Caenorhabditis elegans: one gene and its partners. The protein of the gene in region 1 interacts with the protein of each later gene in a pairwise test. Each region holds a gene or a part of one and is shown in the gene's direction. Other genes may lie near its edges. The genes, in order: C18B2.5, arrd-13, cdk-14 and lys-8.

The links.
Region 2: the proteins of C18B2.5 (region 1) and arrd-13 interact in a two-hybrid assay, tested with the Caenorhabditis elegans proteins (one large-scale study listed by BioGRID).
Region 3: the proteins of C18B2.5 (region 1) and cdk-14 interact in a two-hybrid assay, tested with the Caenorhabditis elegans proteins (one large-scale study listed by BioGRID).
Region 4: the proteins of C18B2.5 (region 1) and lys-8 interact in a two-hybrid assay, tested with the Caenorhabditis elegans proteins (one large-scale study listed by BioGRID).

What each region holds. Positions count from the first base shown.
Region 1 is NC_003284.9:3,606,378-3,612,883, reverse strand, and holds C18B2.5 (G domain-containing protein), read left to right. Parts: upstream 1-1,791; 5' UTR 1,792-1,793; coding exon 1,794-1,886; intron 1,887-1,944; coding exon 1,945-2,004; intron 2,005-2,054; coding exon 2,055-2,204; intron 2,205-2,251; coding exon 2,252-2,494; intron 2,495-2,542; coding exon 2,543-2,620; intron 2,621-2,685; coding exon 2,686-2,779; intron 2,780-3,055; coding exon 3,056-3,222; intron 3,223-3,275; coding exon 3,276-3,582; intron 3,583-4,289; coding exon 4,290-4,372; intron 4,373-4,427; coding exon 4,428-4,651; intron 4,652-4,707; coding exon 4,708-4,870; intron 4,871-4,916; coding exon 4,917-5,252; intron 5,253-5,903; coding exon 5,904-6,005; downstream 6,006-6,506.
Region 2 is NC_003280.10:13,756,485-13,761,735, forward strand, and holds arrd-13 (Arrestin C-terminal-like domain-containing protein), read left to right. Parts: upstream 1-1,923; 5' UTR 1,924-1,936; coding exon 1,937-2,121; intron 2,122-2,272; coding exon 2,273-2,378; intron 2,379-2,877; coding exon 2,878-3,040; intron 3,041-3,628; coding exon 3,629-4,411; intron 4,412-4,463; coding exon 4,464-4,609; 3' UTR 4,610-4,751; downstream 4,752-5,251.
Region 3 is NC_003279.8:841,208-848,719, reverse strand, and holds cdk-14 (Protein kinase domain-containing protein), read left to right. Parts: upstream 1-1,956; 5' UTR 1,957-1,974; coding exon 1,975-2,124; intron 2,125-2,228; exon of another isoform or gene 2,229-2,549; intron 2,550-2,577; coding exon 2,578-2,637; intron 2,638-2,720; coding exon 2,721-2,790; exon of another isoform or gene 2,791-2,871; coding exon of another isoform or gene 2,872-2,899; intron 2,900-2,958; coding exon 2,959-3,106; intron 3,107-4,380; coding exon 4,381-4,659; intron 4,660-4,707; coding exon 4,708-5,007; intron 5,008-5,622; coding exon 5,623-5,805; intron 5,806-5,858; coding exon 5,859-6,003; intron 6,004-6,045; coding exon 6,046-6,174; intron 6,175-6,743; coding exon 6,744-6,884; 3' UTR 6,885-6,978; downstream 6,979-7,512. Other genes in the region: ZC123.1 (Sperm mitochondrial-associated cysteine-rich protein-like), read right to left, coding at 7,064-7,096, 7,140-7,502.
Region 4 is NC_003280.10:5,584,647-5,588,193, forward strand, and holds lys-8 (LYSozyme), read left to right. Parts: upstream 1-1,531; 5' UTR 1,532-1,532; coding exon 1,533-1,783; intron 1,784-2,091; coding exon 2,092-2,368; intron 2,369-2,564; coding exon 2,565-2,897; 3' UTR 2,898-3,005; downstream 3,006-3,547. Other genes in the region: C17G10.13 (THAP-type domain-containing protein), read right to left, coding at 3,057-3,547.

The sequences.
Region 1 (6,506 bases):
TCATTTTCCTTACCTCCTTCATGCAATCTACTGTACTGATCTTTTGCCTATCTTGCATTTGCGTTTTGCTCAAAAAATAGGACTGACGGTTCTGGGTATTTTGAACGAATAGACTCAGAATATGCTCAATTGTAACTATTTCGTGTAAAGAATTTTTATGGCGGTTCAAAATTTCAAACAAAATTCAACTAACTTTAGTTAAATTGAAAAATAAAATAAAAAGCCATGAAAATTTTTGAATTTGTTTTTGTTCAGCACATTTTTTCATTTCAGGTCATTTTTACATTATTCGTCATCACCACGGCTTGTTAGTATTCCTTTGAAAAATTTGAAACTGAATTTATTTTCTAATAAAATTATGACCAACGAAAGCAATTGTGAAAATAACTTTTTTCCTATGGAACCGTTTTGTTTTGAAATTATAATTTATTTTAATTGAACTCAAAACTAAAAAAAATCCTGCGTTTTTTTGAAACAAAGTGCTTACTCATTGGGTACCTAAAAATTAAGAACCATGGTCTTAATTTTTTTTGTTGAGTTTTTTTTTTTTAAATAATTGTGTTCTCATGCTAGATTATTAAACACATTTTCTATCAAAAAAAAATGCGCAAATGCAAGGTATCAACTCGGGAGAATCTTATTCATTTTTCAATTGTTTTCGCTTGTATTTTTTTCCAACCTTCCTCCGCTAGACATGTATTTGATGGGTTTCACCTTTTTCTTCCAATTTCAGTTCACGTTTTTTTGTTCAGCATCTCTTTTTTCCCCTCTTTTCAAAAGTATTCAATCTTATGCAATGTTGTTCTCAATAAAAGCAATAATGTGTTCAGTCCTTTACATGCGAGCAAACAGTCCTGAAACTTAACTGGCAGAGAATTGATATGCGTGTGGTTTATCATGTTTTTTCAGGGTTCTATAACTGGAAAGAAACTTATCACAAAGAAGAAATTCCACTCTTTACATTTTCAATTTTTGAAAGAATAATGAAGCTATGTTTTCTTTTCTTTTTTTTTGAACTTTTGAACTTTCAGGTAAAACAAAAAAGTTTTCTTAAATCTATTTTGGATTCAAATCGAGGAATGCCTTGGAAACTGATTTTTTTTTCACTAAAAGATTGTATCTTAAGAACTTTCGTTCCATTTTCTAGTCAAATTAAACTGTAAACTATTATGTCCTTCAATTGGGATGTATTGTAAAATTTGACCCGTTCCAAAATTATGATGGCATCTACTCATTTTTGTAGAAATAAAACCCAACCATCTGCTAGTCTCGGCAAACAACACGCGAACTTTGTTTTTATCCCCTCTCACTCTCAGTTCAGTTCAGCGCTCTCCACCGATTTTTTATTTTGATTTAACTCGTCAATACTCTCGTTCCATTGTTACGGTTGTTAGCTGCATATACAATACGTTTTTGGCGCCTGACGCGAGAAGGTGTAATGCGTGGCACGCATTGATAAGCGACACGGTTTGACAGGAAACTTTTAAGCAGTGCTCTGCCATTTCTGTCTTTGCACTCCATTACACCGTGCAATTTGCCTTTTACCGATCTTTCGTCACGGTCAATCATCTCCGTTTTCAGCCAGGTTTTTCTGTTTCAAATATAATTTCACGGGGAGTACAATAGGAATGGTTTGTCTTTGATGATAGTTGAGCAAAGTTTGCAGAAATAATCATATTTTATATGTAGCATAAGTTTGTTTTGCTATTTTTCTTAATTCTCACTGTTTATCGTTCTCGATTTTTCCATTCCCACAATTTAACAACTCCTATTATTGTGTCTTTTGTACAGACATGTCGCGAAGCACGGCTGTCAGCATCAACTTGGATGACGTCTTTGGCAACCTTCCAGCGTTGACATCTGCCACCAACGTGAAATCTTCCGAGGTAACCAAAAATTTCGCAGAATTTTTGTATTTCCAATAAATTTTGAAAATAATTTCAGTCTGGAAATAGAAGCCGCAAGACAACTGCTTCGAGTGTATCCACTGTGAGAGAGGTTCCGGTAAGAGTTCATTATGGTATAGAGCTCATAATACTTGTAAACTTTTCCAGATTGGAAACGGAATCCGATCACATGCGACATCAACTGTGGTGTCCCATCCACCACATGCAGTATCTGCACCTCCACCACCACCAGTCAATGTCACCCCAATTTCGCATTACTACGATGCAACTCCAGTGAATGACGATTTGATGAACTCGGTAACTATATTTTTAACTGAACCACTTTTCACAACAACGTTTTAAAGGTCTTTTCCGCTGTGACACTGCCAACTGTCAACTTGCACGGAGGACATGACGATGCTCTCCGTCATCTCGACGAAGCTTTGTATGGTGAGGATCACGAGTCCATCGTCAGTGAGCCACCATTTCAAGCTCCAAGCCATGTGAGCTCGTCACATGTTACATCTCATGTTAGCTCGCACAGAAATCAGTATGCAAGCGAACATCACCCACAAAACGCAAGCGTAGTGTCAAACGGATCTGCCAAGGTAAATTTCAATTTTTAGGAACTATTCGGGTAAGTTGGTCCGTTTTAGAGGCATGCCGCTGCACGAACTGGAAGTCTCGTCGTGAACAATGTTTTCAACGATTTGAATATCAATTCTCAAAGCTATGCAAGTTATTTGCATTGTGTTGAAAATAGATTGTTTTGAATTCAAAGTAAGTTCGTAATTTTCAGCACTACGACGCCTACGGATCTGAGCCGCAGCCGGATTATGAAGACGAGAGAAGTGACCACTTCAATCTGAATCATCAATATCCAATCAGAACGGGTGAGTGTCACTTTTCAAGACGGAAATAAAAAAAATTGTAGAAGCATGTAAATAAGTTGCAACGGTCATATTTCTGCTATGAGTCAGTTATTGAGGAGTGAACAGTGGTGTAGGCTTTTGTTATGCACATTGAACATAACTAGTCATACTCTTGTCTGCTCAAAAATGTTTGACTATTTTTATACTCAAGCGGGTCGTAAGTGTATCCGAAATAGTACTAGTTAGTTTTAAAAAAAGTTGCATATAATCAATGTATGTTTAAAAAAGTTATTTTAGCACAACCACACCGTGATCGTTCCAACACCATCGATAGCTCCGCATCGTTTGCTGAAAGCCGTTTCGGACAATTCGATGTTCACGATGAGCATGACCGTTACCATGGTGAAGAAATCAACCTTCATCATGACGAAGTGGCATATGAACGCCCACGTTCTGAGCTCAGCGTGAGAAAATTATCAAAAAAATCTTCATTATCATTAATAAAGTCTTTTTACAGTCACCAGGAAGTGTGTACTCTTCCCATACCCAAGCTTCGTTCCACACTGGTGGAACCCAGAAGCTGAGAAATCTTCAACGCCAAGTTGAAGATGCTCACGCGAAAAAAGCTCAGCTCTCTCATCAAGTTGACCGTCAACGCGCTGACAATGACCGCATGACTCATGCTAATTTGGCTCGTGAAGCTTCATTGAAGGTCAACAAAATTGGACAAGGTGCGAAGCCACAAGGCTACCACGTTCGCTCGTACAGCCATGAGCACGATCATCATCATTTGCCGCCACAGCCGAAATCCAGCCATTCTTCAAGTAAGTTTTAGAGAATTTAATTAGACTTATAAACACGGTCTTAACAAACACTCAAACTTGCCAAAATAACAAGATAATCAGGCTTCATTTTTCTGAGGTCGAAGTGAGTGTACCGTAGGAGTACTGCAGGAGTACGGTAGGATTACTGTAGTTTTCGTAAAATTTGATATAGAGCTTTTGAAGAGGTTGCGGTTTGCTGACATAACCGTGATAGTTTTTTTTTTTTTGAAAGTGTAAAATTGTTTCAAATCTTTCAAAAATGTTAGAAGCTTTACAAAAGTTTGAGGCTTTCCAAAACACTTCCGAAAAGATCACAATGCTCTAGAGGAACTTGTGTAGTATACCATACCCAAAACTATTATCCAATACGCTTTCAGTCGTTTCTTTCAAAAATGATAATATAATCAAAACTTGAACTACATTTGCATTTTTAAGCTCAGGAAACACTAATCCCATGCCTAATGTAGATTTAAAAAAATCACGAACATTTTTAAAATGGTTAAAACTTTCGGGCCAGGTGTACTGCACACACTCTACAAAAGTGTATAAATTATTTAAAAGAAAAAAAACCATGCACCTGCAAAAATGTGTGGCAGTTTTCAATTTTCTGTTTGTTCAATTTTCTGAGTACAATCAACGTTTTCTGTGCGAACTTCTATGTAAAACATATTATTTAAATTTTCTATTGCGTATATCGAATATTTAAGAGAGCGTGGACTCAAGCATCTACGAAGAGGAGGAAGCTCGTGTCAGCCCACTAGCTGCTAAACAAAAGGCAGCAGGAGAACATGTAAGTCATTTATTTTTCATATGAAAATTATTTTAATATTCTTAAAAATTATTAGATTGCAAGCAGCGGAAAATACGAGCTCGTTGTTCCACAATACTATGTTGTTGAAAACTTCTCCAAGAATGACAAGATCAACAAGGTTATCATTGGAGGAGATGCTCCACCAAGTGACGATGACAAGACTCTGCTCCTGTTCGGTCCAGTTAATTCTGGAAAGACTTCTGCTATTACCAGCATGATGAACTATTTGTATGATGTTAAGAAGGAGAATGATTTCCGGTAACTTAATTTTTTAATTTTCAATGTTATAATGTTCATTATTCTTCTTTTTTCAGATTTGTTTTGGACGAGCATGTGAACGCAACCACTGGACTCACCGCCTACGTTTTCAACAACACTGTTCTTCCTTATAACGTCACTGTTGTTGACACACCCGGGGTTGAGGACAAAATGGGCAACAAGACGGTCTCGCGACTTATCAAGCAGTGGTTTGAGAAGGTGAACTATTGAAACTTTGCAAAAAATTCTAAATTTCACGTTTTAGGAGCTTCTCAAATCTGGATCCTTCCGTCTTGATGCAATCTCAATTGTTTTGAGACACGACGAGAATCAACTGGGATGGCCGTTCATTTATGAGTTGGCTGATGTTAAGAGAATGTTCGGAGACGATTTGAAAACAAACGTTCTGCCGATTATCACCAACTCTGAAGTTCTCCCACAGCCAATTGCCATCAAAAGTCTCACACAGGCCAACATTTCTTTCCTTGAATACTACAAAGTTAACAACTCGGGATTCGCACCACTCCCAACAGGAATTTCCAAACTTCAACATAATCTCTACTGGACACACGGAACAGCTTCGTTGGAGAATCTTTTCAGAGTAAATATTATGGGTTGGGGAAGTGAAATTTAAAACTGAAAATACTAGGTGTCTCAGTCTGCGTATTTAACTCGGTTTAGTTGAAAATAACTGAAAATAGTACACTTTATTTGAAAAGTAATTTTGGCTTTCAAAAATCATCTTTCAAAAATCATCACATGAAAGCAAAGAACATAAGTATAAATTGAGGCGTCTCAAGATTATTTTTCAACCCGTCCGGGATCAAATTCAATTCAAACTTATATTGAAAAACGTATGCAGAAAAAACTGTATCTGATGAAACTTTAACATATTTTGAACTCCAACTTCAGCATAATTTTAATTTATTTCATATGTATGGGAAGGCTTTCAAATATTCAAAATAGAAAACTTTCCATGAAAACTATTCCGGTTTTTATAGTAATTATGACATAAAATTTTTCAAATGTGCTTATGAACATTTAAATAATTTTTTTAAACATATTTATATATTTTTGTTTTCGGTTTAGTTCTAAGCTTTTTTCATATCAAGTTTTTAACTCATATTAACTCACTTTTCAAAATTGTATTAATAATGTTCGAATGTGAGAGATGATATTAATTTTTGCGGTTTTGATAGGTCAGCTTATTATCTATGCTTCTGAAACTACCTTATTAAATCTTTCACTTCAGGATTTGCAAGAAACTGTCCACCCACTAGTTGCCATCCTCCGACACAACAAGGGACAAAAAGTCGAACAAGCTCCAGTGTTTGCTGATAAAGTGTTGTATTAAAAAACAATTTATTATTATTAGTATTATTATTTGTGTTTTCTGATTCAATGGTTTCAATTTAATCTCCGATCCACTCATTTTGTATTTATTGTTCGACTTAACATTTTTATCCAACGCGACTCGATAAACATTCCCTATCAATCGTTTTTTTTGTTTTTCAGCTTCATTTCTTTTCGCTAAGGAACTAATATAATTTTTGGCAGAATAATATTGTTCATTGATATTTAAATCAAAAATACAAATAATATTATAGGAAATTCTAGAAATTTCGACATATCAGTTAAGAGGAACGCTATTACAAGTGTCAAGTTTTACAAATATGATTACCTAGTGTATAAAACGAATTTCAGGAAATTTTAATTTTCAAAGTGTACAGAGAAAGCCTAGATTGATAGATACTATCACTTTCAAAAGTTCCTTAAAATTCAAAGCAAATGATGATACTCATTTTAAAGTGAATTAAAATTGTGAACATAACATTCGAACTTTTTGGAGCTTAGG
Region 2 (5,251 bases), on another chromosome or scaffold:
TTTTGTTCAATACCTTCTAAAATAGTGTAACTAACAAGAAATTAACAATAGGAATTGAGGTTTCAGGGATTTAGGCTAGAGTTTAGTTTTTTTTTTTTTTTTTTTTAGTTCTTTAGTTTTTTTTTTACTTAACAGTTTTGTCTGAGGAAATATTTTTCTGAGTAGTGTGTGTTAGTCACCCCGATTTTGCATTTATTCCTAACAAATATATAATAGGCTGGGTTTTGAAATTCTATTTAAAAAAAAACTGGTCCTATAAAAACGGACGATGAAATTAATGAATTTTTTTTATTTTTAGCATGTTTTAAAGCTATTTTTCTCCATTGTTTGACCTTTTTTGCCAATTTGCCCATTTGCCGGAAATTTCAATTCCGACAAATTGTCGTTTTTCCGACAAATTTTAAATTCCGGCAATGTGCCGATTTGCCGGGATTTTTCATTTTTGGCAAGTTGCCGATTTTCCTAAAATTTCGGCAAATCGTCAATTCGCCGGTTCCCCGATTTGCCGGATATTTTCAATTTTTCCTTTTTTTTTTCAAAATTTGCAATTTGCCGATTTCCTGATTTGCCGGAAATTTCAATTATGGCAATTAGCCAATTTGACGGATATTTTTAATTCCGGCAATGTGCCGCTTAGCCGAAAATTCAAATACCGGCAATTTGCCGATTTGCCGGAAATTATTAATTCCGACAATTTGCCGATTTTCCTAAAATTTCGGCAAATCGGCAGTTTGCCGGTTCCCCTATTTGCCGGATTTTTTTTTTCAATTCCGGCAATTTCCCGATTTGCCGGAAATTTCAATTCCGACAATTTGCCGATTTTCCTAAAATTTCGGCAAATCGGCAGTTTGCCGGTTCCCCTATTTGCCGGATTTTTTTTTCAATTCCGGCAATTTGCCGATTTGCCGGAAAAATCGTTTGCCGCCCACCCCGGGTTCGGCCATTTCTAGCATATTTTTCTCCGTTGTTTGACCTTACAAATTAACTTTCCCGAATGTCAGAAATTTTATCACTATTTCCTATTTAATCAGTAATGCTTCTCCTATGTCTTCTTCCGTTTAGCTTATCAATTCTTCCTGTTTGTGAGCAACGTTTCTTTTTCACAAGTTTAATGGAAAAACGTTGGTCTTTGCCCCGTTCTTTTATCCTCGCTGTTCCCTTTATTTCTCTGCGGCTCTTGCGGAGTGCGATTTTTTTGACCTTCAATACTGCATGTGTCTGTTTGCTTTGTTTCGAGCGGCTATTCCGTAATTTTCATGAAATTGTAAAAAAAAATCTAGTAAAAAATCGTTTAAGAAATTAGAATCAGTTATTAATTTTTTTTTAATTTGAACTTTTAAAATTTATTCTATTACCCAGACACGAGATTTCGCGATTTTTGAGCCACAAATACCAAACACCGGTCTCAACACGACAAATTCTTGATAGAAAGGAAAAGGCGTTCGCCTTTAAAGCGTACTGTAATTTCAAACTTTTGTTGCTGCAGCGATTTCAAATTTCTATGGATTTTTCATAGTTTTATTTTTATATTTGAGAGTTTTTTTTGCTATATTCATGTTTTCCATAAATTAATACATTTTTTTTATCGAAAATGTGTTTATTAGTTATTGAAAACTAAAATCAATTAAAAAAGAAATTTTGAAACTACAGTACTCTTTAAAGGCGCACACTCCTTCTCAAGTACGCAAACACCACATTTTATGACAATTTCTGCAAAATTTATTTCGCTCCTTTTTTTTGAATTAAATTAAATTGTTTTTTTCCTTTCCTTTTCAATTAAAATGCATAATTTTTTTCTATTTTTTTAAAATAAAATATTAAAAATCAAAAATTCGTTTTTTTTTAAATTTTCAGTGTTCTCTCCACCGATTTTCTTCCGGTTTTTTGAATTTTTTAACGATTTTTTAACGATTTTTGTCTAAGTTCCAGGGTTATCATGCCAGAAACGGAGCTTCACGTGATATTCGACCAGCCTAACGAAGTTTTCTTCCCGGGACAACCGATTTCCGGCCGAGTGGTGCTCTCAACGACGAAGGAAAAATACAAGGCTCGGGCGGTGAATATCAAAATTTTGGGATTGGCTCACACCAGTTGGACGGATTATGAGAGTGTTCGCAGAGTGTAAGAAATTTAAGATTTCTGTAGAAAATTTCATTTTTTTTTTGACGAAAAAGCTATTTTTCAAATTTTTTAAAATGGAAAATTGAATAATCAATAAATATTTCCGAATTTTCGAATAACACTAAAAAATTATAAAATTCGAATTTTCCAGTGACGCCGACGGAAAAGTGAGCCACCACCGGCAATCTGTGCACTACTCTGCGAATGTGAACTACCTGGATTATACATTGCTTCTGTGGGCTTGCAAAGATGGATCGGTAGGGTATTTTGAATCAGGGATAGATAGGCAAACCGGCAAAATCGGCAAACCGGCAAATTGACAATCTGCCGCTTTCCAAATTTCCGGCAAAGATGGCATATTGCCGTTTTTCAAGTTTCCGGCTAATTCGGCATATTGTCGTTTTTTCATATTTACATCAAGTTCGGCAATTGCCGTTTTCCAAATTTTCGGCAAATTGCTGTTTTTTTTTTAAATTTCCGGCAAAGTCGGCAAATTGTCGTTGTTCGAATTTCCGGCAAAGTCAACAAATTGCCGTTTTTTCAAATTTCCGGCATATTCGGCAATTGCCGTTTTCCAAATTTTCTGCAAATTGCTGTTTTTTTTTTAAATTTCCGGCTAAGTCGGCAATATGCCGTTTTTTCAAATTTCCGGCAAAGTCAACAAACCGGCAATTTTCCGATTTGCTGAAATTTTCGGTAGCTCAAAATGAAGAATGGTTGAAAATTACAATTATTAGATATCTGAATATTTGTCAGAACGAGTTAGCAGCTGGAGAATACGCCTGGTCATTTTCTTATAATCTTCCTCTCAACGTTCCGCCAAGCTTTGAGGGAAAATATGGATATTTGAGATACTCGGTGACAGCTGAAGTGGATCGGCCATGGAGATTGGATAAGGCAAAGAAGCGATGCATCACTGGTAAGGGCTACAGTTTTAAGCCTAAGCCTGACAATCTAAGCCTGAACCTAAGCCTGAGCCTACGCAGCTGAAGCCTAAGCCTAAACCTAACAATCTAAACATAAGCCTAAGTCTAAGACTAATCCTAAGCAGGAGTGGCATTTTTCGATTTTTCGATGTTTTTTCAGTGAAAATTGAAAAATCGAAAAGAATGTTAAGAAAATTAACCATAAAATATGATTTTTTTTAAAATCTAATTTTGCTTATATTGATGAGAAAAAAACATCAAAATTAATTCTAAAAATAAGAATAATGGCCAAAATATTGTGCTAATATTTTGGAAAATCTAAAAAATTTTCGCAAAATCAGAAAAACGATAATTTTTTAAACATTTTTCGATTTTCAAAAAAATCGAAAAACGAACACCCTTGATCCTAAGCCTAAGCATAGGCCTAAGCCTAAATCTAGACCACTGTCTAAGCCTAAGCCTAAGCCAAAGCATAAGCCTAGGCCTAAGCCGAAGCTTACGCCTAAGCCTAAGCCTAACGGTCTAAGTCTAAGACTAACATTCTAAGCCTAAGCCTAAGCCAAAAATTCAAACATTTTCAGTTTCCCCACTGATCGACCTCAATGTGATCCCCCATGCACTCACCCAAATCAACGACCAGGCTAGCGAGAACCTTGGCTGTTGCTGCTTCAAAAAAGGATATCTCGAACTTCGTGTAAACATCCCGAAAACTGGATTCGTACCCGGCGAGACTGTTCCCATGAACATCCATATTCTAAATCACTCCTCCGTTCCCGTCACCGAAGTCAAGGCGAAAATTATTCAGCAGTGCAAGTTCATTGCATATCGAAACGGTACCACCTTCCATTATGGCGGAGGCTATGAGACTGGAATGTCCGGACAGCTTCAGGAAACCAAACACGACACGAAGACCGTCGTCAAGCATGGCCAGGAAATGACAGTGGCTCCCAGGAATGAGCACAAATTTGCGATGGAGCTCCGTCTTCCGTCTGTAACTCCAACCATCAATCAGTTCTCACCGGTGATTACTGTAGAGTACATTGTGCAATTCCACGTGGAGACCAGCTCAACATTCGGGAGTGATGTTGATTGTGAAATGGGGATCCTGATTGGAACAGTGCCTATTCGGCAGTTCCTTCCACCAGCCTACTATCCACAGGATCCGAATCTTCCACAGATCCTGCCAACTCCGATTGGAGGAGGGGTTGTTGCTCCACCACCAGGGTATGGATTCTTGCCGATGGCAGATGGCTCGGAGAAGGGAGCTGGTGATGCATCATATCCAGCTGCCAGCATGCCAATGTATCCTATTCCGAATGTCCCATATCCTAGCAAAGATGATGGTACTGTAGTGATTCCAAGTGGTGAGTTACTCAGAAGTCCAGCACAATTCTCTAAAATTGCAAATTTTTCCAGCTCCACCACTATCCTACGAAGAATCAATGTTTGGACAAGATGGAACCGAGCTCAACACTGATGAAAATGAGCAACCATTTGCTCCAAAATACCCGGTTTTCAACAATTTGCCAGTTTATAATCCGACAGCGCCACCACCGGAATAATCCGAAGAATGAAGGATTTTCATCGGACTCTGCCCTGCTTTGCCGAATATTGTTCAAAATTATCATTGCTTTTAAAATGTTTTTTTGCCTGGTTGGATGTGTTTTTGTTTTATTTTAATGCATAAATTATTAAACTTCAATCGAATACTTGACATTGAGCAAAAAATGACTAATTGCCGGAATTGAAATTTCCGGCGAATCGGCAAATTGCCGGAATTGAAAATTTCTGGAAAATCGGCAAATTGCCGGAATTGAAAATTTCTGGCATATCGACAATTTGCCGGAATTGAAAATTTCTGGAAAATCAACAAATTGCCGGAATTGAAAATTTCTGGAAAATTAACAAATTGCCGGAATTGAAAATTTCTGGAAAATCAACAAATTGCCGGAATTGAAAATTTTTGGAAAATTAACAAATTGCCGGAATTGAAAATTTCTGGAAAATCAACAAATTGCCGGAATTGAAAATTTCTGGAAAATTAACAAATTGCCGGAATTGATAATTTCTGGCAAATCGGAAAACTGCCGGAATTGACAATATCCGGCAAGCGGCAAATTGCCGGAATTGAAATTTCCGGCGAATCGGCAAATTGCCGGAATTGAAAATTTCTGGAAAATGGGTAAATTGCCGGAATTGAAAAT
Region 3 (7,512 bases), on another chromosome or scaffold:
TGAAGCTTTGAAGGATTTGGAGGTGTGGCCTTGAATAAAAGTTGGTGGCCGAATTTTCTCTTACACGGCCAAGTAGTGAAAACCGCCCATCGAAGTGGTCCTGTACTTCAATTTGAGCAAAAAAGTTTTAAAAAAGTTTGTGGCCGAACTTTAGTATGCACGGCCATTTTCCACAAGTGGTTTCTTTTTTATAAAGTTTTGGTAAACCTTTTTTGATAGCCCGAAAAAGTTAGTGGCCGAACTTTCTCTTTTACGGCCACGTAGGTAAATATGCTGGGCCAAATTTTTAGCGTAGAAATTCCAGTGACCTAGTTTTTCCCTCTCGTGGCCTAGTTCTCTAGAAACTCTTCGACATTTGGTTTTTGAGCTAAAATGAGCCAAGAAAAAGCGAAAAATAAGGAACAATAGGCACACTTAGAATGACCAATTACTATTTTATGAGAGAAGCGCCGCCCGTCTTTTTTTTTCTTCTTTTTTCCCTACTTATTCTCTCCTCTGTCCGCTATTAATGCATTTTAAATTTGGCATTGTCATTTTTTGTCATATCTGAAAAAAATTTCAAAATCCCACGGGGTTCTGGCCTTCCTCATTGAATTTTCGCGCTCCATTGACAATCGCCTGCCGGACAACGCTTGGGAAAGTCGTGTACTCCACACGGACAAATACATTTAGTTTTACAACTAAAATCGAGCCGCGACGCGCCGTAAATCTACCCCGAATATGGCCTGGCCTAGTTCGGCAAAAACTCTTCCATTTCAACTTCTGAGGGACGTCAGAAATCCGTGCTAGTTGTGTTTAATTTTTCTTCACACATTTGTTTATGTTTTAGAGTGGCCTATGCAACGACACTCCGATGTTATGCGCGTGTTGTTTAGAAATAAGCCACTAGGTACATACTAAAAACTGTGAAAATTTAGCACCTGGATCGTGGCGAGACCCACTCGGAAAATCAGCGTGTTCCTTTAAACTGACATGTCAAATTTGAGTGATGTCCCTGCATATTCATTTTTGAAGTTCTATCACAGTTGGGGAGTAATGCGAAAACTCTTCCAACTCAAATTCTCCGGTGACCTAAAAACTCGGAAAACTCTTCCACCAAGCAGTGGACATGGACCTTAAATCTACGAAGAAAACATGGAAGGTGTGTAATGTAATTTCAAAAAATTATTTTTTTTGCCCAAAAAAAGGACAGTAATGGCTGAAAAATGGCTGAAAAAAATTTTGGAAACAATGAAAAAAATTGTCTAAATTTGTTGAAAACGGGTAATTCATATATGCAGAATTCAGAAAATCTAGGTTTAGAAAACTATTAAAAAGTGGCAAAATTGAGCAATTTTTGTAAAAAATTACAATTTTAAAACTCTTCTAAAATGGATAATTTTGAAGCTAGAGGACTCAAAATTGATCTCCGAACCTTAAAAATTGTCTTCTTGCATAATTTAGTAGTTTCGAACATTTTCAGAGAAAATTTTTTTTTGCCCGAAAAAAAGGACAGTCATGGCTGAAATATGGCTGAAAAAATTGGGGAAAAAATGTAAAAAATATCTAAATTTGTTGAAAATTTTTTGGGCGAAAAATTCCCGCATTTTTTGTAGATCAAACTGTAATGGGACAGCCCAGGTGTCTCTAAAGATTCCCGGTAACCTAGAAATGCCAAAACTCTTCCACCATCCAATTTCCTCACTCTTCCTGCTTCCTGTTTTTCACCGAACCCACCCAAGTCATTTTTCATCTGTCTTTTTTTTCTTCTATTTTCTTTGTTTCGAAACGGCTGAAAATGGGAATGTGGAGGCTTTAGTAACCCATTAACGCCCCGCCGTCACACCGGCTTCTCCTCTTCTCATTTCGTAGTACGGCTCCCTCCTCCGAGCAGCTCTTCATTTTTCCACCCCCCCCCCCGCTGCTCCAAATTATTCGTTCACGTTCTTTTTCCCCACCCAAAAATTTCACTTGCAGATACCATCTTTCAATCAAATGTGGGGAAAAATAACCTCGCATATTGGAGTATGGTTTGGGCTGGAGGAGGCCGAGAGGCCTATGAGAGCATCGTGCTCACTGTCTATGATACATCATCCACAGCTCACCGCTGTTAGGAGTTCGAAGTCGTCGGAGAACTTGCATAGGGTGAGTTTGGTATTTTCAAGAAAAATCGAAAAACCGAAAAAAATTATAAAAATTGAAATTAAAAAAACGCCTCAAAAACGAAAATTCGTCGATATTTCGATTTTTCGATTTTTCAAAAAGGGTCATTTTTTGAAATCCTAGGCCACAGTCGGTCGGTAAATGAGGATATTTCTTGTAAGCCTAGGCCTAAGCGTGAACCTAGGCCTAAGTCTAAGCCTAAGCCAAAGCCAAAGCCAGAGCCTAATCCTACGCCTGAGCGTAAGCCTAAGCCTAAGCTTAGGCCAAAGCTCAAGCCTAAGCCCAGTCCCAAGCCTAAGCCTAAGCCTAAGCCTAAACCTAAGCCTAAGCCTAAGCCTAAGCCTAAGCCTAAGCCTAAGCCGAAGACTAAGCCTAAGCCTAAGTCTAAGCCTAAGCCTAAGCCTAAATATTTCGATTACGCTCCACATATTCCAGATCACCACAATGTCGCCGCAACGAATTCAGGACGTGGACGGCTCGCCGAGCACCCGGAAGGTCAGTAAGTCACGCCACCCCCTCTAAACTTCCGGCGATTCTGCATCTCTTCCACAAGACACAAACACAAAACATTATTCCAGCCGTCCTCGTCAATTTTCACTTTGCGTCGGAGTCGGAATAAGGAGAAGAAATACAAGAATAACGGCGGTGGCGAGTTTTTTTTTTCGAAATTTTAGCCAATTTATTCTATGGGGTGCGGGGGGTGGCACAAGTTAGTCAGTTTACACAAAAATGCTCTCCAGAGTCTTCTCCCAAAAAGGTTAGTTCCGAAAACATATGAGCCCCCATATAATTCCACATTTATTTCTGTTTTTTCAGGAGGCTCCACCAAATCTCCGATCTCGAAAAACGGAACAAATGAAATGACACAATCATGGCACTCCAATCATGTGAATGGGGCATCATCGGGGTCCGGAAGTGGAAGCACACCAGAACATCATAATAAGAATATTTTCAGCTTTTTGAGGTAAGTGGTGGAGATTCTTATTAGGTTGTATATTGAAGTAAGACTATAATTACAGTAGTTTCGACACCTTGTTATGTTTGTTATAACTTACCACGTGGTGTCAAAGTGCCTCATTTTGGTTTGATCTCCGAGAAATGCGGGAGAAGAGACGCAGACTTTTCAACTGGTATCGCATGGTTAAGAGTGTGCTGACGTCACGTTTTTCTGGGGGAAAAATTCCCGCATTTTTAGTAGATCAAACCATAATGGGGCAGCCTGACACCACTTGACTTACTAGTTATATCTGACCACAGGCAAAGCCGGTACGGTCCGTTTACGGATCTTGGACCGGGAACGGACCATTAACGGGTGAACTACGGATATGAAAAGCGGGACGGACCAATTACGGGCAAACTACGGGGAATGTAAAAAAATGGCCATTAAGAGGAAAAAATGGATTTTAAGAAAACGAATTTTTTTAATACCTATGATACCAGTTGGCTAATTTAAGCATTTTTACGTCGTTAAATGCATTATTTAGAGCAAAAAACACATTTACCGACCGAGACGGCTCTTGAGCCGTAGTTGGGCCGTTTCCGGTCCGTAGAATTTTCTTTTCAAAAAAAAAAAATTTGAATTTCCCGCCAAAATTTTTTTTTCTCAGAAAATTTGATTTTCCCGCCAAAATATTTTTGTCAGATAATTTCAATTTCCCGCCAAAATTTTTTTTTCTCAGAAAATTTGATTTTCCCGCCAAAATATTTTTGTCAGAAAATTTCAATTTCCCGCCAAAATTTTTACAGAAAATTTGAACTTCTCCCCAAAGTTAATTCCCAGAAAATTTGAATTCCCGCCAAAATTTTTTGGTCAGAAAATTTCAATTTCCCGCCAAAATTTTTTTGTCAGAAAATTTCAATTTCCCGCCAAAATTTTTTTGTCAGAAAATTTCAATTTCCCGCCAAAATGTTTTTCTCAGAAAATTTGAACTTCCCGCCAAAATGTTTTTCTCAGAAAATTTAAATATCCCGTCAACACGTGGTGTCAGGCTGTCTCATTGCGGCTTGATCTACAAAAAATGCGGGGATTTTTCCCCCAGGAAAATGTGACGTCAGCTTAATCCTGCAAAATCAGTTGAAAAGTCTTTGTCTCAACTCCCGCATTTTTTGTAGATCAAACCAAAATGGGGCACTTCGACACCACTTACGCCAACATTTTTAATCAGAAAATTTAAACTTCCCGCCAAACTGTTTTTCTAAGAAAATTTTCCGAATCAAACCCTAGTAATACCATTTCAGCCGCCAATCACGTTCCCGCTCCAACAATCCATCTGAAACCATGTCAACCGTGCCCCTAAACAAGAACTCTCCATCAATGCCACCACCACCATCTAGCAACACTGTGGCCGACTTCACACATCTTCGAAGACGTCGACCACGATCAGCACACTACGATCCAAATACGATAACGCTTCCTGCGAAGGAGGAAGTGACACCGCAGGATGTGAATGATCTGTACAAACGAATTGACAAGCTGGGGGAAGGATCTTATGCAACGGTGTATAAGTGCGAATCGAAGTTAGATATTTTAACAGCTGATATTACCAAACTAAATTATATTTTCAGACTTGACGGATCCATAGTCGCCTTGAAAGAGATCAAACTTCAATTTCAAGAAGGTCTCCCATTCACCGCTATCCGTGAAGCCTCGCTTCTCAGAAACCTCCGTCATGCGAATATCGTCTCTTTGCACGACATCTTCTATCAACACCACCAGCTAACTTTTGTGTTCGAGTACATGAAAATGGATTTGAGCAAGTACCTGGAGCAGAACGTCTATGGGTTGGATAGCATTGACATCAAGCTTCTCCTCTTTCAACTTCTCCGCGGACTCGATTTTTGTCATAGGAAGAAGATTCTTCATAGGTTAGTTTTCAAACTGCTCCCTAGTGTTGATAGGGCTCCCAGCAGAGTGAGGCGCGAAATTCGGGCCTCACGCCGACGCCGTTGAAGCGCGAAAGGTGGTCATTTGGAGCGGCCGACACGTTCGGGGTTCCGCAGCTTGGCGTGAAATGAGTAGCCTGGTGTGTGCGCAATGAAGTGCGTAGAAGTGGTTGTTCGGAGCGGCCGACACGTTGGGGGTTCCGCAGCTTGGTGTGTGCTCAACGTATTGCGAAAGGGAGTTGTTTGGAGCGGCGGACACGTTCAGGGTTCCGCAGCTTGGCGTGAAATGAGTAACCTGGTGTGTGCGCAATGAAGTGCGTAGAAGTGGTTGTTCGGAGCGGCCGACACGTTGGGAGTTCCGCAGCTTGGTGTGTGCTCAACGTATTGCGAAAGGGAGTTATTTGGAGCGGCGGACACGTTCGGTGTTCCGCAGCTTGGCGTGAAATGAGTAGCCTGGTGTGTGCGCAACGTAGTGCAAAAAAGTGGTTGTTTGGAGCGGCGGACATTTTCGGGGTTCCGCGGAGGCCGGCGCGGCGACCGCTGGGGTCGGCGGAGGCGCCGTTGCGGCCATAACTCTTGATAAAAACTGATTTTCAGAGATTTAAAACCACAAAACTTGCTTCTCGACGAAGACGGTGTTTTAAAACTCGCAGACTTTGGTCTAGCCAGGGCGAAATCTGTGCCGAGTAGGACATATTCTCACGAGGTGGTCACTTTATGGTACCGCCCGCCTGATGTTCTCATGGGAAGTACCGACTATTCAACTTCCCTGGATATGTGGTAGGAGGATATTATTTTATAAAAGGTACCAACTATATCTACTAACTTTGCAGGGGAGTCGGTTGCATATTCGCTGAAATTTGCACGGGCGCCGCTTTGTTCCCGGGATCCAAGGACTCTCACTACCCCGGCACCAAGGACCAGTTGGATATGATCTTCAGCATTCGGGGTACTCCAGACGAGAAAAAGTGGCCGGAGGTGAGGGAATCTAAAATCTAGAGATAAAGATGTTTGTTTCAGGTAAAGACATTACCAGGCTACACCCCTGAACTGTTCCCCAGGTATCGGGAGTTGTCGTTCATCGCGGTGAACCCGATGTTCACGAAGATTCTGAAGACTGGTCAGGAACTTCTGGGGATGCTTCTTCAGGTAAGTAGACTTGTAAAAACCACTCCTTTAGTCCCGAAAAGACCGAATATCATAATAAAACGTTTCAAAAAAATTTTGAAAATTTTTTATTTACTGTAATTTTACCACTCATAATTTTGGAAGTCGACCAACAAAAAAAAAATTTTTTTTCCTACATTTTTATACTGTAATTGTGTTTTAATTATTTGTATTAAAATATTGTAGGGGTCGGAACATGCGACATTGCTCTAGATTTCCTCAATTGCTCATTTTTCAAAATTTTAGCAGTTTGCCAAAAATTTGACCTGAAATTGTGAAAAATCTAATTTTTTGGATTGTTTTATTATGAAATTTGGTTTTTTTTTCGGATCATTATGTATGTATTTTGACAAAATTTTCACTGGCGCTACTCCACCTTTAAGTCAGTCCAGGCCTACTAGTCTAATCTTTGACAAATCAGTCTTCGCGAGCTATATTGAGCAGCAATCTTTGAGTGCAAGCTCAAGCCGAAAGCTTAAGCCCTGGCTGCAATGCTAGTCTAAATGAATCGACATCGAGCTACACCTATCTTGTAACCCTCAAAATTACAGCTCCGCCCGGAAAGCCGTGTCTCCGCAGCCAGTGCAATGCTTCACCCCTACTTTGCCTCATTCCCCCGCGAGGTTCATCTCCTGGCTCCAAGCCAGTCAATATTCCGGCTCAAAGAGCTGAAAGATCTGCGATCACTATAACGACCAAATCTACTACATCTCCAATTTCTTTACACATATTTTCTTGCTCCAAATTGCTACGGGTGCTAAAAGCTAATATAAATGTATGTATGTACTTATTTGTTTTATTAGTCATGTTGAATTATTATTACGAGGTGGTATTTATGTGATATGTGAGAATCGGAGGGAGTCGCTTCAAGTTATGAACGTGTTCCTGGGCATGGGTAGCATTGCTGAAAACTTTAAGATAAGGAAGCTCATTAAACCAACACCTACCGCTGTTCCGAAGTCTCTCTTCCTCCGCTTCAGACCAGTATCCTGTGTACAGATGTTACAGTCTTCTCCCAAAAAGTTTCTCTTCACTCTATGCCGACACTGTGGGAATGCCATGCAATTCTGCTCCGAGACGTTGATATTCGGCTGCCCGAAGTTTCTCTTGACACGATGTGGCGTGAGCCCAGAGACTCCACACCTCGAGCACTTCTTACGACGGAACACGGCTTCTCGTTTGGTTCTCTTGTCTGCATAGACTTTTTGGAAGACTGCGTACTCGACGTTGTTCAGGCAATCGTCACTTTGTTGGCAGGAGCGGCGTTGCTTTCTGCGGGTCTCGATGGTTTCCTCAGAGGATTCGTCGTCCTGAAATGAA
Region 4 (3,547 bases), on another chromosome or scaffold:
AGAACTTCGACTTTCAACAATTCTTCACAGCACCTCCAAAAATGTAAACTTTGACGTCACCAATGATTTTTTTATGATGATTTATGATAATAAAGTGAGAGAGAAATGTGTGTGTATTCAGAAGGAAAAAACATAAGTAAATACAGGAAGAAGCTAAAAAAGAATATATATTCGTTTTTTTACGATATCATTGAATTTCTGATTTTTCAATTTTCAAAGGAACATTGGATATAGAACAAGCTATATGATATCTGGAACATCAAAATGTGGCATAATATTAAAAGTAATGAAATAGGCGGTAGGCACATAGACAGGCAGGCGGGCAGTAGGATCACGAAAGAAATACAGAACATCGACGACAGGCATGAAGGTAGACATGTGGCAGGCAAGTACGGATGGAAACTAAAATACTGAAAACCCAATGTAGGTAGGAGAGCCTAAAGAGGTCCCTGGATATAATTGAAGCCACTTTAAAGTTAAGTAAATATACGTTAACTGAAGAATTCAACAATTTGGCCAAGAATTAGTTGAAATTAATAATGGATCAAAAATCTTCAAAGTTTTTAGAAAATACCAATAATTGGCTTCAGGACTAAAATTTATCGTTTTTGTTATTTGTTCAATGAATAGACAGACACGTCACTTTTCATTATCAAATACTAAATTGATCTCGAAATGGATCTACAATTTCAGCTGTTTCAACAATTCGAATTCTTTACTCTCTGTTCCTCTGGAAATGACATCACTTCTTAAACTCGTCATCTTCGTTTTTATTCCATCCAAAGACAAATCTCGACTAATTGAATTCACATTAAAAATAGATTAATGATTTTTAAACAATTGGATTGCTCACAGGGGCTATCGTTGGATGTTAGTACAGTTTAAACAGACATGTTAAACGGTAAAAATATAGTGAAATGGGAAAAATTATGGAACAAGAAGGAGAATGTTTATTCAGCTGCAAATGGGATTTTTGTATAAAAGAATTGGTATAGTGCTGAAGGAGAATATCATACATTTTACAGTTCTAGTTTTCAAGAACTTTCAATTTTCTTCGCTGTTATGGTCAAAGTTGAACGTAAAACATATGCATAATCGCTTTGAAAATCTTACCACTATCTGTTAGTCAGAAAAAAATTGTGTTCACTTATGAACTATCAATTTAATAAAAGACAACAAATTGTCATTTACGAGAATTTGAACCTAGAAAAAATCATCAAAACGCCCACGCTCAATTACCGGTATTCCACATAATTTGTGATGTTCTTTTCATCGACATTAATGACATAAAAGTGTGTACACAGTTACTGATAACAGAGTGTGATATCATGATAATGTTTTCCGAAATTATAAATTCAGATGGACAAGCGGTACTTGCCAGCTCTTTGATAAAGACTATAAATCATGATAACCACTCCAGTTTCTTCAACATTTCGGTTTAGTATTTGATTTTTATAAAATTTGGTTTCTTATTCTTTGTTCTTTTTGTTAATAATTTTCTCTTAACTCATTCAAGTTGAACATTTTCTAGAATGCTTCTCAAATCAGTGGCTCTTTTGTCAGTACTGGCAGTACTTTGCCATTCGGCTTCAGTCTCCGTCAAGGTCCTTCCATTCGTTGACTCATCTCTTCCAGTCAAATTCAGAGAAGTCATTGCTGAGGCTGCTCCACGAGTTCCACCAAATTTGGCTTCATATGCTTTCGCTGTTGATTTGTCTGTTCCAGTTTCATTGAGCCAGCTTCAGTGCCTCAAACAAGCTGGTTATTCGGCAGTCTTTGTCCGGTAAGAATTGAAAAAGATTTTATGATTTACCTATCTATAAATTGTTATTTATAAAAAAAAGTTGAATCTTTTTTTGCCCAAGGTTGGCCCAAGTGTAAAGATATTGTCAACAGTTGAATTAAACTTGAGCTAAACCAGAACAAGTTCTGGTCATGTATTGTCACTTCAGAACCTTTTTAATATTTTTGGCCAAACTTGGGCAAACATTTGCCTGCTTTCGTTTCTGATTAATTCATTTTTCGATTCCAAACGTTCATAATTTGATGAACATTTTCTAAAACTCCATAACAATTAAATCGAATTTCCAGTGCATACAACCCAGCTGGACAAGGATCCTTCGACACCAACTCCTGCAATACTATTCAGAATGCGTATAACGCTGGACTCGGAACAGAGATCTACATGACTCCACAGCCGGCTTCAAGCAAGCAAGGATACCAACAATTGGATGAGATCTACCAAGGATTGACTGCAAGAGGAATAACAATCAGATCTGTATGGATCCAGGTCACTTCTCCAACCAACTGGCCAAGCAATGCTAATAACAATGTCAACTTTATCAACAGTATTGTGTCAAGAGCTAGAGTAAGTTTCCTGTAGAAGCTTGATTTTTTGCTCAAGGAATTGAAATACATTCAAATACGAAAACTCGAATGATTCGTATTATAGTCTAAAACATTGATTAATCTGATAAGACCTTTGGGTTAAGACGTTTTTAAACTGAACCGATTAGTTCATACTTCTGCAACAAATTTCATATCAAAATTCATATAATTTACAGCAATATGGAATGACTGTCGGAATCTACACTTCCTACTACGACTGGAACCAGATCACCAACGGATGGAGCAGCATTGGAAATGATGTTCTCCTCTGGTACTGGAATGTCCTTGGAGGTGGTGTCAATGGAGAGACCCCGGCCAGTTTTGCTGATTTCCGCGCGTTCGGATGCTGGACTACTCCATCTGTCAAACAATTCGCTCAAGTTGAGCAAGTTTGCCAGTTCACTGTCAACAGAGATGTTTATGCTGCTGGAACTATGCTCAAGGCCGCTGACGCTGTTGAAGAGGATGGAAAGATCTACGCTGGAGGATTCATTCAAGGAAGTCAATAGATTTTATCAGTTCCGAAAATAAGTGGAATTTGACTACTTATATTTTGTATCTAACTGTACCCCCAATATGTTATGAAAATCTGAAAATAAAGTTTATTACAAAAAAACAAAACACGAGAATCTAAAAACAAATAACAACAAAACAATGCGAGCTTGGCTCTAATTTTCTATATCTATTTCCGAGTCCGTTCCCTTTTCCATTTTGATATTCGTATTGTCTTCTTTGACTTCAACGAACGTGTTTCCTTCAAGCTTGAATGCCAGTACTTTCTCCTGGGAAACAACATTTGGAACAGCTGTTTTAAGAAGTCGTCCACGAGAACTGAAATCCGCTTGCGGGAAATGTTTTCGACACATGTAATTTGCAGGTTTCATTCGAAGACGTATACGGAATTGTTCTCCTAATATTGCCACCCATCTGGCAATTCGTTGCTCGGTTTTTGGAACTTGCGTCATGTATCGCTTTTCGTACACTTCCAAGCAGTAGCAGCATTGTAGTGGATGTTCCATGTTTTGGTTAATCATTGTATATGATCTATTTGGAAGACTGGGTGTGGTTTTCTTGATAATTCGAAGAATTGAAGATGAACACGAATCTTCTTCAAGTTTCTGTTTTCTCGGCTGTCGGAAACATTTAGGTAAAATTCCAT